2 linked regions of the Pelodiscus sinensis genome follow. The protein of the gene in region 1 purifies or fractionates together with the protein of each later gene. This does not show direct contact. Links are inferred from orthologs where the notes say so. Each region holds a gene or a part of one and is shown in the gene's direction. Other genes may lie near its edges. The genes, in order: C1D and MPHOSPH6.

Region 1 (7,446 bases):
CATCAGCTGATGTTCTCTTACTTACCAGGGCTAGGCTGAGAATTTTCAATGAAAAGCTCGGAAATTCATTCAACTCTTTTGAACTAAAAAAGAGAGGTTACTCATCCTGTGCAGTAACCGGGGTTCTTTGACATGTGACATTCTTTGAGTGTTGCACTGTAGGTGTGATCATGCCCCCTGTACCTGGGATTGGAGCTCTTCATCAGTGACAGTTAGATTGTGCATACACACCTCCCAGTCTTGTGCTGTATGCACCATCTGTATATATAAAGCTGTGCAGCTTCTTCTCTACCACAGAGCTTATTTTTCAGCTCCAAAGCAGAAGGGTGGTAGTGGCTGCGGAGCACCCACAGGAACACACATCTCAAAAAACCTGAGTTACTGAACATTATGGCTACATCTACACTGGCATGATTTTCCGCAAATGCTTTTAATGGAAAAGTTTTCCGTTAAAAGCATTTGTGGAAAAGAGCATCTAGATTGGTATAGACGCTTTTCCGCAAAAGCACTTTTTGCGGAAAAGCATCCATGCCAATCTAGACGCGCTTTTGCGCAAAAAAAGCCCCGGTCGCCATTTTAGCCATCGGGGCTTTTTTGCGCAAAACAGTACTGCGCTGTTTACACTGGTCCTCTTGCGCAAATGATTTGCGCAAGAGGGCTTTTGCCTGAACGGAGCAGCTTAGTATTTCTGCAAGAAGCACTTTTTTCTTACAGTAGGAAGTCAGTGTTCTTCCGGAAATTCAAGCGGCCAGTGTAGACAGCTGGCAAGTTTTTCCACAAAAGCAGCTGATTTCGCGGAAAAACTTGCCAGTCTAGACATAGCCTATGAGTAACCTTCTCTTCTTCGAATGGTTTTCCTATAGGTGTTCCACTGCAGGTGGCTATAAAGCAGTGGTCCTCATTGTAAGATTGGGGCTTTGAAGTGGCTTTTACTGTGAATGATTGTAAGGTCAGCCCTAGCAGAGTATCTGATACTGCATCATGAGTAATGGTGAGTGATGGCTAAAAGCATCCATGAAAACCCAAGTGCCTGCTGTGCAAATGTCAGCAATTAGGACCTTGTTAGGAAAGGCAATTGAGGTGGATAGAGAGTAGGTGGAAGATACTCAAGTTCCAGGAAGTGGTTGTCCATTGTGTAGGTGGTAGGACAAGTGTATACATTGTAAGATCCACTTAGAAAGGTCTTACTTAGAAATGGGGTTGTTTCTTTCAGCCATTCATAGGAATAAGTATGGTCATCATCTGAAAGGTTTAGTTCTGCCTAGAGAGAAAGCTAATGCTTATCAGATGTCCATAGTGTGCAATGCTGCCTCCTGCTAGTTGCTCTGTGGCTTGGAAAGAGGCAGAGAAGGCAGATAGGTTGATTTAGATGGAAAGAAGATGGTATTTTGGGTAAAAATTGAGATGGGGCATAATGAATCCTTGTCTTTATGGAAAATCACAGAAAGGGGGTATGCCATGACTGCTCTTGTTTCACCAATCCTCGGGGCAGAAGTGATACTGACAAGAAATGCAGTTTTTGTGACTAAATGAACATAGGAATATGTTACCATTGATTTGAAAGATGGTCTAGTAAGATATCACATGAAGCCAGGGTCCCAGGCTGGGGTCAGATTCTGTACATGAGGTAAAGATTTTGGATACCTTTAAGGAATCTTTTTGTCAGTGGGTGGATGAACACAGAGCATCCATATATCTCGGGATGAAAGGTTGTAATGGATGCCACGTGCACCCAAATGGACCTGGTGTATACCCCCAATCTTTTAAGATGTAAAATATAGTTCAGAATTAATAGTAATGGGGAACTCATTGCTTCTCCCTGATAGGAGGTGCACTAGGAGTGGAATCTAGTCCACTTGTGGACATAAGTGCATCTTGTTCTGTCGCTGCTATTCAAGACTATTTCTTTGACTGCTTCTAAACAGGTTCTCTCTGAATCCCAGAACCAGGGAGGAGCCATGCCTTCAGGTAGTGTAGTTGTGGATTGAGATGCTGTGAAAGGAGCCAGGGAGTCTGTGCAGAGTGATCAAGGTTCATACTGTCATGCAAATAGGGTAAGTATACCTGATTTATCATGGCTATGTCAGGCTCAGTCTGAATAGAAGGGGAAAGAGAGGAAAGGCATAGAGCCTTTCCCATGCAAGGTGAAATGTGTCTTTCAGGGATCTGTGTCCTAGGTCCACTCTTGAGCAAAATCAAGGATAGCAGGGGTTGTTCAATGTGGCAATGAGGTTTATGGTGGGGAACCTCTGGTGACTGAAGATGTGTTGGAGGTCTCATATATCTAGCTTCTACTAGTAATTATAGTTAAATCTCTTGCTCATTGAATTTGCAATGGTGTTCTGGTGTCTGGTATGTGACTAAGATGGATACACCAATTCCACAATTTCACTGCTTCCAAGCATAGAGAGTAGGATCATACTCTGCCTTTCTTGTTGATGCAGAACATACAGGTGATATTGTTTGTCATGACTCTGGTAGAGGGATGTACAATGAATGGTAGAAAATGTCAGTAGGCATTGTGGACCTCTGTTGTGGCCAAATACAATTATGTCACTTATTCCAAAGTAAAGCACCACTGCCAAGACCTCACATTCACTGAATTGCAGGCGCCAGAGCAGCCTGTGCTAGGGTGGAAATCCTGGGTGCTGGTTTGGGGAGGGAATTTGAGAGCTGGAGAAGGACAGGCCCTTTGGGGACAAGACAGGAGCATAGAGGTGGGGGGAGAGGATGCAGACTCTGGTGGGAATGGTATGCACAAGGAGATGTGGGGGATGCTACACTTACCTGGGGCACCCTCCACTGGCAATGACTCCTGGGGAGGCAGGAGTCTCTGGGTGCTGCTGCCCCTGCATATTCCCTCTGCCCCCGGAGCCTCATCTGCCACCCCAGAGAAATTTAAATTGCCCCGGGGTACCCCACCATCAGCACAGTGTGATTAGAGCACCTTCTTGCCCCCCACTTATCCTGGCAGCCAGCATGTGCATCCCTATGGCCGAGGTCTCTGTGTCGTGCACGGTTCTAACCCAGTCGTGTGCAATCCGTGGGTTGCAACCCCCAAGGGGGTTGTAGATGTCTTCCTGGGGGGCCACCAATGGCTGGGCCCAGTCCTCAGCCAGCCAGATCTAAGTACCACGCTGCTCAAATTATCAAAGGGGTCATGACACAAGTAAATGGGGGTCATGGTTGAAAAAAGGTTGTGCACCACCCAGGCTACGTCTACACAAGCGCGATCTTGTGCCAGAGATATGCAAATAAGGCTAAGCGTGGAATATCACCGAGCCTTATTTGCATACCTAATGAGCTGCCATTTTTGTGGAAGAGGCTCTTGTGCTAGACGGAGCGGTCTACACTGCCCCTTTTTGAGCAAGAAAAAGCCTCTTGCGCAATGCCGTTATTCCTGAAAATAATCAGCGTCGCAGCATTGCGCAAGAGGGTTTTTCTTGCGCAAGAAGGGGCTGTGTAGACTGCTCCTTCTAGCGCAAGAGCCTCTTCCGCAAAATGGCGGCTCATTCGGTATGTAAATGAGGCTCGGTGATATTCCACGCTTAGCCTCATTTGCATATCTCTGGCACAAGATCATGCCAGTGTAGACATAGCCCCAGTGTTTCTCAACCAGTGGTACGAGTACCCTTAGGGGTACTTTAGAAAAGTCTGGGGGGGGGGGGAAGGGGGCGTCAACACAACTGAAATGTGGAGAAAACTGAATCTCTGTTTTAAGTTGTACTGCACTTTATTATTTTTGTACTTTTTACACCAAAAAATTCCCCTCCCACCATTAAGTTGTTTAAACAAATGTGTTGCAAGGGTAGAAAAAAAAAGGTGTGTCTGAAACCTGTAGGTAGTGGGGTACCCTAGATCTGTATGGTCTTGGGGAAAGGGGTAGTTGTACAAACAGGGCTGAGACACACTGGCCTAGCCGGCCTGCGGGCTCTCAAATCTCCCCAAGGCGGGGCCAGGGCCCACGTGGCGCGCGACCTGAGCTTGCAGGCGCTGCCCAGCCTCACCCCGAGCCCCTGGGGACACCTCGGGAGCGAGCGAGGGGAGGCGGAGCGACCGGGAAGGGGCGGGGCCAGGAGGGCAGCTACGTAGGAGCCTCTCTGTGAGCCGCGGGGTGCCAACCGGAAGTGCTGCCCCTCCCCCCGGAAAGGGTAAAGGAAGCCGCTTTCTGAGCTCCCCCCCCCCCCCCATCCGGCCAGCACGCGCGTCGCCTCAGCCCCTCCAGACTGCGGGGCTACTGGATCCCGCTCCCCCCTCCCTCCGGAACGGCACCGAACCCCGCCCTCGCCGAGTGTGATTGGCCACCTGCCCAAGGCCCGCTCTTACCGCGCTCCCCCCGCGGCTCTCGGGCGCCTAACCCCCACCCGCAAGGCCCCGCCCTTTTGCCCTCGTAAGGAGCTTTGCCGGATTGTCCCGCGTCACTCTGACACCTTCCCGCAAGGAGACCTTCCTCCTCGGATTGGCTCTAGCTCCAGAAGCCCCGCCTTCCCACGTTTTCCTTTCCCTGATTGGCCACGACGCCAGCGCCGAGCTTCTATTGGCTTCTCGCACAGTCACTCTGGCTGGCGTCGCGCCGCTCCCCGCGGACAGGTTGCGCAGTTCTACCGGCGCCTTTTTCACGCGTCATCGTTCTGCGCCCAGCTCAGGGCAGCTCTTCCGGCCGCATCCCCGAGTCCAGCGCCCTGGCTCCCGTCGCGCGCGGCAAGTCCCAGAGTCGTTTGGCGCCCGGGGAGTTCGCGAGACACCGCTGGGCTGAGGGATCGGCCAGAGCTTCGCCTCAGCGGAGCAGCGCTTCGTAGCCCCCTGCGGCTGGGAAACGCGCCGCGAGTCCCGCGTAGGGAAACGCCTCAGGCCTGGCTTCCCAGGTAGCCGCGCTAGCCTGGGGGGGTCCGGTGGCACCTTAAAGACTAGTGATTAGACTGTGGCAATAAGCGTGACTGGCAGGCGTGGGCCGCCGCCTCATCACACGCTCCCATCCCCAGGCTGCATTGTGCCCTGGAATGCCCCAGCTGTAGCGGTTTGGAAACCAGTTCCCAGTGTTTTAGGGAGGCAGCCGTGTGGGTCTGTTTTAGCAAAAAGAGTGAGGAATCCTGAGGGGCCTCTAGGGATGTTAAATTTAGTTTAATCAACTAATTAACTGGTTGATAAGCAGGGGAGTTGTAGTGGGGTTAGTTCCTGGCCTCGCTGCAGCTCTGCCTCTTAAATATATTTAGAGTGGGGGGGTGGGGGAGACACTCCCAAGATTTTGGAAAGGGGTCGAGGGCCATACTCTTCCATGGTATTAATGGAGGAGATGTGGGGTCTGGGCTGGAGGTAAGGAGCAGAAGGGAGGCTGGGATAAAGGATTGGGGTACAGCAGGAGAATGGCACCTGAGAGGGCGTTTGGATGAAGAAGGTGGTTGTGAACTGGGTCAGGGAACTGGGTGCAGGCTTTTGGGATGTGACCTAGGATAGGAGGGGATTGTGTTCTCCAGCAGGAGATGAGGTGCCAGATCTGGGAGGGGGTATGGGTGAATGTGGAGTAGAGGGGCAAGAGTGTGGGGCAGAGAGTTGGGGAAGGAAGGGACTGCGGTGCTAGAGGCAGGTTCTCACCAGAAGTCTTACCAGCCTGCCTGCAGAGCTAAAGGCTTGCAGAGCTTAAAATGTTTGCCTGCTCCACCATGTGCTTGATTGAGTGAGCAGGAGGGTTGTGCTTTGTGGTTGCCTGTTATTCAAATAGGCAGCTCCCATTGGCCAGTGTCTGTGCAGAAACTTGACAATGAGATTGTGTTGGGGGCAGGAGCAGCGTCTGAATCTTCCCTTTTCCCCTCTAGACTTAACAGAGAAAGTGCCCCGCAGCTGCATTTCTGAGCTGTGTGTGGGGCTGCAGGGCAAGTAGGGGAGCCTGCCTGGGGCTCCCCACTGCCTCTGTGGTCTGGATCCGGTGGCTTGGCAGGCCAGATGCAGCCTGCGGGCCGTGTTTTGCCCAGCCCTGATTAAGAGCCATGTCTGGGGAGTCCCCAGCCACCCTGCTCTTTATTCCTCTTTATAAGAAGCAGTAGCGTGGGGTGGCAAGTGAGAGCCACTCTGCGAAGAGAGCCAGTCTAAAAGAGGTAGCAGTCTGGGAGAGGGGGGGCAGGTGGAGCCAGTGCTTGTGGCTTGTGGCAGGTGGAGCCAGTGCTGATACAGAGGCAGCAGAGGTGGGTAATGCATGTAGTTGACAGGATTAATGGATTAAATCCGGCTTATTAGTTAATTGTGTAGTTGTCTTCAGGTTGACATCCCTAAAAACAACCTTAAATGTGCTGGATACCTGAGGGAAAAAGAAAATAAGTTTATTAAAACATGCTTGCATTTAAAACTAACTGATATATGAAACAAAGTAGTTAGGGAAACAAAATAATTGTTTCTGGTTACCAGATGCTTCAAGATTTTAGAACTAGTAAATTGTATCCTCACACCTCTCTCACCTCATTTTTATTTATGGTTTGGAAAAGGAAAACAATTGTTCCTGCTTTTTTCAAATCTCACTGGTTTTTTCAATTTTGAATTAACTTGTCATTAAAATGAACTAGTTGAATAAACTGAATTGAAGGAAGAACCTGCAGGAGAGACTACTGCTTTCAAAAGATGACTTAGCACTTCAGCAGGCTCTGGTTCCATGCACTTAGCCAGTGACTTCCACTAGTTCAGTGGGTTGACATTCTTTAAAACTTTTGGCACCAAATATCTTTGAATATTTTTGTTTAATTTAAATTACTTCAATAGATTGTAATAAGTTTAGGCGATATGATTGACATAATTTCAAATCTAATTTAAATAGGTTAATTTTTTAAAAGAAAAATATTTAATTTACATTAAAAACCACTTTAAATAAAACATCAGATTTTTTTATTTCAAAGAATTGATTTTTCCAGCCTTGTTTTCTTGCCAGACTAGCTGTCCTTCAATTTTGTGATTATTTGGAGAATGGGAAGGTTTTTTCAAATTAGCATATTGGGTTAGTTACTGGAGGACAACCTTTTTAGCTGAGATTTAAAAGCCAGTGTCTTGTGTATTGTGTGTTGCCATTAAAGCATTTGTCACATGTTTCATGAATAATTTTGCCTCCATGTACTTAGCCAAAATATCGCTGCTCCTTTTTACTGTATTGGGTACCATGTGTAGAATACAAACTTTCTTCTATCCCAGAAGTGGCTGTCTTTAGTCACTGTTAGATTTTTTTTTTGGGGGGGGGTACCTTGTATTCTATTGAGATTATTGTTATACAGTAAACTTCTGATAATCCGGCACCTTTAGGACCCAGAGGGTGCCGGATTATCAGATATGCTGGACTATCAGAAGGGGGGGCTATGAGGGGTCTGGGGTGGGGTGGGGGGATGCTACCCCAGACCCCTTCATAGCCCCCCCTTCCGATAGTCCAGCTCTGCCCCAGGAGTCCCTGGTTCAGCCGCTGCTGGTCAGTTT
Region 2 (7,505 bases), on another chromosome or scaffold:
TGCCACACTCTAAGGGGATTGTTTTTATAGAAAAACATATACATTCAAACTATTCTGAGGCCTTTAAAAGGCAACACCGAATTCAAAGATAGTTCAAAAGGAATCTTAGTCAATGCAAAGGCTGGTACAATGCTTGAAATAGGTATATTGTGCTAGAATTATAATCATTCTGGAAGCATAAATGCACTTTTTAAAGGAGAGCATTAATATTAGCAGGTAGGTAACCTTTGCATTATCTAAAGCTGAAACCCACTTGGCACGAACCTAGTTCACAAAGATCACTTAAAAACTATTTCACATTGTTTAAAGAGAAACTACTCTTTAAATAATGTTAATTAAAACTTTAATTTAACTTTGATATTCACTGAAAAAAAGACCCTCTGTCTCCTAGGAAATAACATCTTTGATCTGTCCGTTTAATGTAGAATCTTTGATGATTTGGACTTTTTTTTCTCCTGTGCTGTTTCAGTGAGCTATTCTCTTTTGCATTCGTAGGTTGAAAGCAGAGTTGCAATTTTAGCTGCCAGAATTGGGAAAAGGGTCATTCAGAATAACCCTCCTACCCCACATCACAAGAGCCACTTTTTTGATCTCTTTCATTAAGACTAACCTCATATCATCAGAGGTTGAAGAGCTAGGGCCAGATTCTGCTCTCTTTGACACAAGTATACATTGTGAAGATATTCACTACAATTAATGGAGTGCTTAATCGGTGTAATACACAGCATGATCGTGCCCAAAATACATCCAATTGCTGTCTATCCTCACCGACCAATTAAGGGTATAAATGCTCAGAGATGCAATTTAAAAATATTCTTTGATGCTTTTTATCTGTCTACATAGATTGAGGTACCTTTTTTACAAATTGCTGCCTCTCTAAATAGACAGAACCATACTGTATTGACTTCAGAACAGAGCACTTTGGACCTGAATGTATTTGGGACAGATCTTTTTTTGGTGTAAATCATTATACAACTACTTACACCAGTTGAGGCTCAGTTGGGCAAAAACAGTGGACAGTGGGTATAGAGATGCACTTACACAGCAGGAGCTCTGGAATGGCACAACTCCTGTAGAGCTCCCAGCTGAGCTGGCCTAGAAACTTCCCCATCCCACAAGGGGTGCAAGCAAGGAACAATTCTTGTGCTTCAGAGACTGCAAAGCCTCACGTTCTAGTTGTCCATGTATGGGAATGGTTACCCATGTATTTAAGGTGGGAAAATTGCCTCATCTTCCCCACCATTGCCATGGGACCACACACAACTAGTAAAAGGGTTTAGAGGACAATCTTGTGGTGTAAATTATAGTACATTTGGCTCCATGATGTTCAATGAAGTCACAGGCATCAGCACCAGAGGTGAAAGTAAGTAGGTGTGCCTAGGTTCACAGCTTCAGCAAGAGCTGGCTGAACTGCAGCAAAAGCCAGCAGGGAGCTATTTAAAGAGCAGGGACACAGGCTGCAACAGGACAACACCTGTAATTAATTTTAAGTTACTTTCACTGCTGATCAGCACACTGACATGTGCATCAACTGAATATAGAAAGGATGCAATCAAAAGAGCCACCAGAAGAAAAAAAAGAGCTCACATTCTGACAAAGTTTTGTTGCTGGCCAATAATGATCAAACTAGGGTCTCAAACACCCAGCAGTGCAAGGTACCTAAGACAAGTAGGGCAATTTCCTCCACTATCTTAATTGATCTCAAATGTATGTATCATGGTGGGTTGGACTGTATGTTATTCCTCCCCTGGAATTAAGAACTGAGAACAGGGAAGGAATGGGGAGTGCTTAAGCAAATTCACTCAGGTCATAACACCTCCAGAGGAGTAACACTACTGGAGAGGCACAGGTATACCAGTTCAAACTAGATTTCCCAAAGACTAAGTGACAAAGAAAGAAGTTTAGATAAATAGCCTCAGTTTAAACTGATAAATGGCCTTTTTTCTGATCCAGCAAATGGACAGGACCTTCTGCCTATGGGAGGCTCCGGTCATTCCTGGGAAGGGTTGGAAGGACTTTGACCTACTGAAACCCCATAAGACTCATAGGTGACCTCTAGCAAGCTTTTGCATCCATATTAGGAACTCTTGCCGTTTTCATAAGATTTCTCTGTTATGCTTTCACCTTAAGAATAAAGGCAATTACACTGTGTGTAGCTTTTAAAGAAAAAGCAAAGCACAATGGCTTGGTTAAGCAGTCTGTCTTACTGGGAATGGTGAAGACCAGGAAAAAGCCAGGTCAGCAAGGAGAGAGATGCAGGTCTCTACTTAACAGAAACGATGGTTGAAGAGTTAGCACCCTGGAATGGGTCTCTTAAGGGACCATAGAGGGGAAATACAGGCATAGTTTGCGGGGAAGAAAAATTAAAATGTTGTCTGAAAAGATTTGCTTCTTCAGCCAGGCACGCTAAGGCTTGTGAGTCCATTTGTAATCCTAATAGAGTACACTAAGCATATGCAGAGAGAAAAGGATAACTATTAAGGGGAAATATTGACCTCTGGAATTTGTGTGGCTCTGAAGGGATCTAACAATTATTAAATCTGAATAGAACCCCAAGTATGGGGAGATTTGAATCCAGTTCTGGGCAGAAATCTCAAGTTTAAAAAAAAAGCAGAAATATTGCTCCAATCTCCTTCTGTCAAATGGGGATTCTTATTTTGGAAAATATAATCTGAAAATACCGAGAAGGTGCTAAAACTGTGCTTTGAAAAGAAAATAAACTACATAAGCAAATGTTTGCTGGTAGGGAGGGTGCTTGGGGTGGGAGAGTAGGTAGGAATAAAAAGGAACTGGGAGATGGGGAATGGGTAAAGGAGGAAGACTAAGGCATGTAGAGGGGCAAAAGTGGAAGAATAGGAAAGGAGAGAGTGGTTGACAGGAGGACTGGGGAAGAATGGGGCAGGGCCCTTGTATCATGAATGATCTATGGTCCCCTACATGGGCAAGACCCACCCTCCCACCGCTGAAGGCTTGGAATGAGGGACGTGCCCATCTTTTGTATGTGACCTCCACCAGTCCCGACCCTTGTGAGCCAGGCTGGGGTGCTGGCTATCTATGGGGTCTGACCCCCCCCCTTCCTGCCCCCATGTATGTGCCAGGCTCGGGGGAAGGGCTGCCCATCCATGACGTGTGACCCCCCCATGTATGTGCCAGGCTCGGGTAGGGGGCTGCCCATCCATGACGTGTGACCCCCCCCCATGTATGTGCCAGGCTCGGGTAGGGGGCTGCCCATCCATGACGTGTGACCCCCCCATGTATGTGCCAGGCTCGGGTAGGGGGCTGCCCATCCATGACGTGTGACCCCCCCATGTATGTGCCAGGCTCGGGTAGGGGGCTGCCCATCCATGACATGTGACCCCCCCCATGTATGTGCCAGGCTCGGGTAGGGGGCTGCCCATCCATGACGTGTGACCCCCCCCCCCCATGTATGTGCCAGGCTCGGGTAGGGGGCTGCCCATCCATGACGTGTGACCCCCCCCCATGTATGTGCCAGGCTCGGGTAGGGGGCTGCCCATCCATGACGTGTCCCCCCCCATGTATGTGCCAGGCTCGGGTAGGGGGCTGCCCATCCATGACGTGTCCCCCCCCATGTATGTGCCAGGCTCGGGTAGGGGACTGCCCATCCATGACGTGTGACCCCCCCCCATGTATGTGCCAGGCTCGGGTAGGGGACTGCCCATCCATGACGTGTGACCCCCCCCCATGTATGTGCCAGGCTCGGGTAGGGGGCTGCCCATCCATGACGTGTGACCCCCCCCCCCATGTATGTGCCAGGCTCGGGTAGGGGACTGCCCATCCATGACGTGTGACCCCCCCCCATGTATGTGCCAGGCTCGGGTAGGGGGCTGCCCATCCATGACGTGTGACCCCCCCCCCCATGTATGTGCCAGGCTCGGGTAGGGGGCTGCCCATCCATGACGTGTGACCCCCCCATGTATGTGCCAGGCTCGGGTAGGGGGCTGCCCATCCATGACGTGTGACCCCCCCATGTATGTGCCAGGCTCGGGTAGGGGACTGCCCATCCATGACGTGTGACCCCCCCCCCATGTATGTGCCAGGCTCGGGTAGGGGACTGCCCATCCATGACGTGTGACCCCCCCCCCATGTATGTGCCAGGCTCGGGTAGGGGACTGCCCATCCATGACGTGTGACCCCCCCCCCCCATGTATGTGCCAGGCTCGGGTAGGGGACTGCCCATCCATGACGTGTGACCCCCCCATGTATGTGCCAGGCTCGGGTAGGGGGCTGCCCATCCATGACGTGTGACCCCCCCATGTATGTGCCAGGCTCGGGTAGGGGGCTGCCCATCCATGACGTGTGACCCCCCCATGTATGTGCCAGGCTCGGGTAGGGGACTGCCCATCCATGACGTGTGACCCCCCCATGTATGTGCCAGGCTCGGGTAGGGGGCTGCACGGGCTGCGACCCCCCCCCCCCCCCAGCAGAGCCGCCTCCGCAGCGCGGCCCCGCCCCGCACAAGGCCCCGCCCCCGTGCGCGGCAGAGGCCCCGGGCGGAAACCCGGCCCCGCCCCGCCGCTCCAGCTCCGGCGGCGCGGCCTGTGCGCGTGGCCCGGCTGCGGGCGGCTCGTGCGGCAGCAGAGGGGCGGGGATCGCTCGCGGCCTCCAGGCCCGGCCCCGCGATGGCCGCCGAGGCGAAGACCAGGCTGTCCAAGAACCTGCTGCGCATGAAGGCGAGAGCGGGGGCGCGTGCGGGGCGGGCTGCGCCCGGTGGAGGGATTGAGGGGCGGGGCGGGGAGTGGGGGCTAAGCCGGCCCCCAGGGAGATTGGGGGAGCCGGCCCTGGCAGCAGAGCGGGGGGGGAGGGGTTAGGGAATGAGGGGTGGGGTGGGGCGGGGTGGGGCCCCCGAGAGGATTGTGGGGTTGTAAGGCAAAGACCTGGCCCGTGCCAAGGGGGTGAGGAGGGAGGGCCGGGGGAGTGGAGCCCGTGGGGAGAGGTACCGATGTCAGCGTGACTACACGGCTAACCGATAAGCCGGGGTTTGTGTGTTACTCTTAGCAACTACACACACACACACACACTCTGCCTGGGTTTGTGTGTTACTCTTAGCAACTACACACACACACTGCCTGGGTTTGTGTGTTACTCTTAGCAACTACACACACACACAAACACACACACTGCCTGGGTTTGTGTGTTACTCTTAGCAACTACACACACACACAAACACACACACACTCTGCCTGGGTTTGTGTGTTACTCTTAGCAACTACACACACACACACACACTCTGCCTGGGTTTGTGTGTTACTCTTAGCAACTACACACACACACAAACACACACACTGCCTGGGTTTGTGTGTTACTCTTAGCAACTACACACACACACACACACACACACTCTGCCTGGGTTTGTGTGTTACTCTTAGCAACTACACACACACACACACACACTCTGCCTGGGTTTATGTGTTACTCTTAGCAACTACACACACACACACTCTGCCTGGGTTTATGTGTTACTCTTAGCAACTACACACACACACACACACACACTGCCTGGGTTTATGTGTTACTCTTAGCAACAACACACACACACTCTGCCTGGGTTTATGTGTTACTCTTAGCAACTACACACACACACACACTCTGCCTGGGTTTGTGTGTTACTCTTAGCAACAACACACACACCCTGCCTCTATATCACAGGGGCGAGTAGGAGCTGGTGCCGTGGCGAACCAGCACGGGAGCTGCCTGCTCCTCCTCTCCCACCGCCAGCGTTGCTGCCTCTGATAGAAAGGCAGATACGAGACGTGGGGAGGGGGGGGAAGGTGGGAGACAGTACACGCAAGAGGCCGGCTTTCAAGCCAGATCCCAGTGCATATGGGCTCATGCAAGCCGCTACCCCTTTCCCTTCACACACACACTGCTGCCTCTCTATCAGAGGCAGCAGAGCAGAACATGGCATCTGGAGCAGACAGGCAGGAGCTGATACATGTGCGGAACTGGCTTTTAAGCCAGCTTTCCTCACGTACCAGCTCTGTGGAGCCACCTGCCTCCTCACCCCCATACTGTTGCCTCTTATCTGAGGTGGCAGCGAGAGAGGACCAGGGGAGGTTGCTGCGGAGCAATCTCTGTCCCCAGTAGGCCCAGGCTGATAGCGGACAGAGGCTGCTCTGTGACATGTCGGTGCAGCCTCTGTCTGTGGGGGAAGCTCAGGCCCCCCATGGACAGAGGTTGCTGCTATCAGAGCACACTGGCTGTGGGCCCCATCCCTGGGGACTATCGAATACTTAAGTAATCAATATTTTGTGGAGTTACACAACTATTCAGTTAATTGCTATCTAACATCTCTAGAAAAGCTCCAGGAGGCTTCTGCACGTGGGACCAGACATTTAGGGGTAGGGGAACAAAGGGAAAGATTGCCCACCAGCATTTGAGGAGGCCTCAGACAATCGCAGGCCCAGAAACAAAATTTTTTTTAATTACCCCTCAAGTGGACACCTTAATCTCCATATCATCAAAACTACTGCTCCCCCATTGTAACAGTGTGGCCACACACACATTTTCCAGGCCACTGCTCCCCACTGGGAGGATTGTGGAGGCACAGAAAGGAGACCATTCCCGAGGTGGGGAAGATGAGAAAGAATGCCTTTTCAAGCTAGTGGGGAAGCTGAAGTATATAGAGCGCTACAAAGAGGAGAGGGCAGGGAGCCGGATATTGACATAGGGGGACTGGTATAGAGGCTGAGGGTAAGGAGGTGGGAAGCTGTGTGTCTGCCTAGGCATTTGTACCTTTTGCTGCTTACTGTTGTACTTGGAAGTATGGGCGGAAGAAATGAAAAGACTAAATTAGGCTATTCAGTATGGGCTGATGAGAAGCTGAAGACCTCTGGGGGCATGAAAGGACATGGGGAAGGTGTTTTGAATGGCAGGGAAGGGACCTAAGCACAGCTAGAGCGAAGACAATAAGCTGGTTTTTGCAGTGTAAACTGGGAAGAGATAATGGCATTATAATGTGTACCCCCTTCTCTGCTATGGGCTCTTCCACACCAGGCCAGCCTGCTGGGACATGGTTTCAGTCAAGGTGCTGTGTGCTGTTTCTAGGATCAGGACCCATGTCCTGAGCTGCCAGTGCAAAGAGACACGTCATCTTAGGAGGCATAGGCATAACCAGGGGTGGATATAGGGCAGGGTGAACGGGGCGGCCGCCCCGGGCCCCGCGCTTAAAAAAGCCCCGAGCATGCGCCGTGGCAAAGGGGGGCCCCGCGGAGTTATGCTGCCCGGGGCCCTGCAAAACAGTCATCTGCCCCTGGGCATAACTGTACTAAACTGGTGTACAAAATAAGCCTTGGGGTGCTTTGCTCATCTGTTGCAATAAAAACGTGTAAATATGGTATAAACCAAAAATGTATGGTAAAGATAGTAAATACATAGTCAAATAACATCATAAGGGGCATTGGGCCCTCTCTTGTATATGATTCATGCTTCAATCTGGAGTCCTGATGTAAGTGAAAATTTGCCTGATTTTGGGATAGGGTCTTGAA

Evidence for each region.
Region 2: the proteins of C1D (region 1) and MPHOSPH6 purify together in Homo sapiens (co-immunoprecipitation; 3 studies listed by BioGRID and IntAct, counting the BioPlex papers as one, with this or other methods). This does not show direct contact. The link is inferred for Pelodiscus sinensis from reciprocal best matches to the Homo sapiens genes C1D and MPHOSPH6.

What each region holds. Positions count from the first base shown.
Region 1 is NC_134713.1:181,892,651-181,900,096, forward strand, and holds the start of C1D (nuclear nucleic acid-binding protein C1D), read left to right. Parts: upstream 1-4,355; 5' UTR 4,356-4,865; intron 4,866-7,446. UniProt on the Homo sapiens protein: Plays a role in the recruitment of the RNA exosome complex to pre-rRNA to mediate the 3'-5' end processing of the 5.8S rRNA; this function may include MPHOSPH6.
Region 2 is NC_134722.1:10,611,328-10,618,832, forward strand, and holds the start of MPHOSPH6 (M-phase phosphoprotein 6), read left to right. Parts: upstream 1-4,504; 5' UTR 4,505-4,640; coding exon 4,641-4,691; intron 4,692-7,505. UniProt on the Homo sapiens protein: RNA-binding protein that associates with the RNA exosome complex. Involved in the 3'-processing of the 7S pre-RNA to the mature 5.8S rRNA and play a role in recruiting the RNA exosome complex to pre-rRNA; this function may include C1D.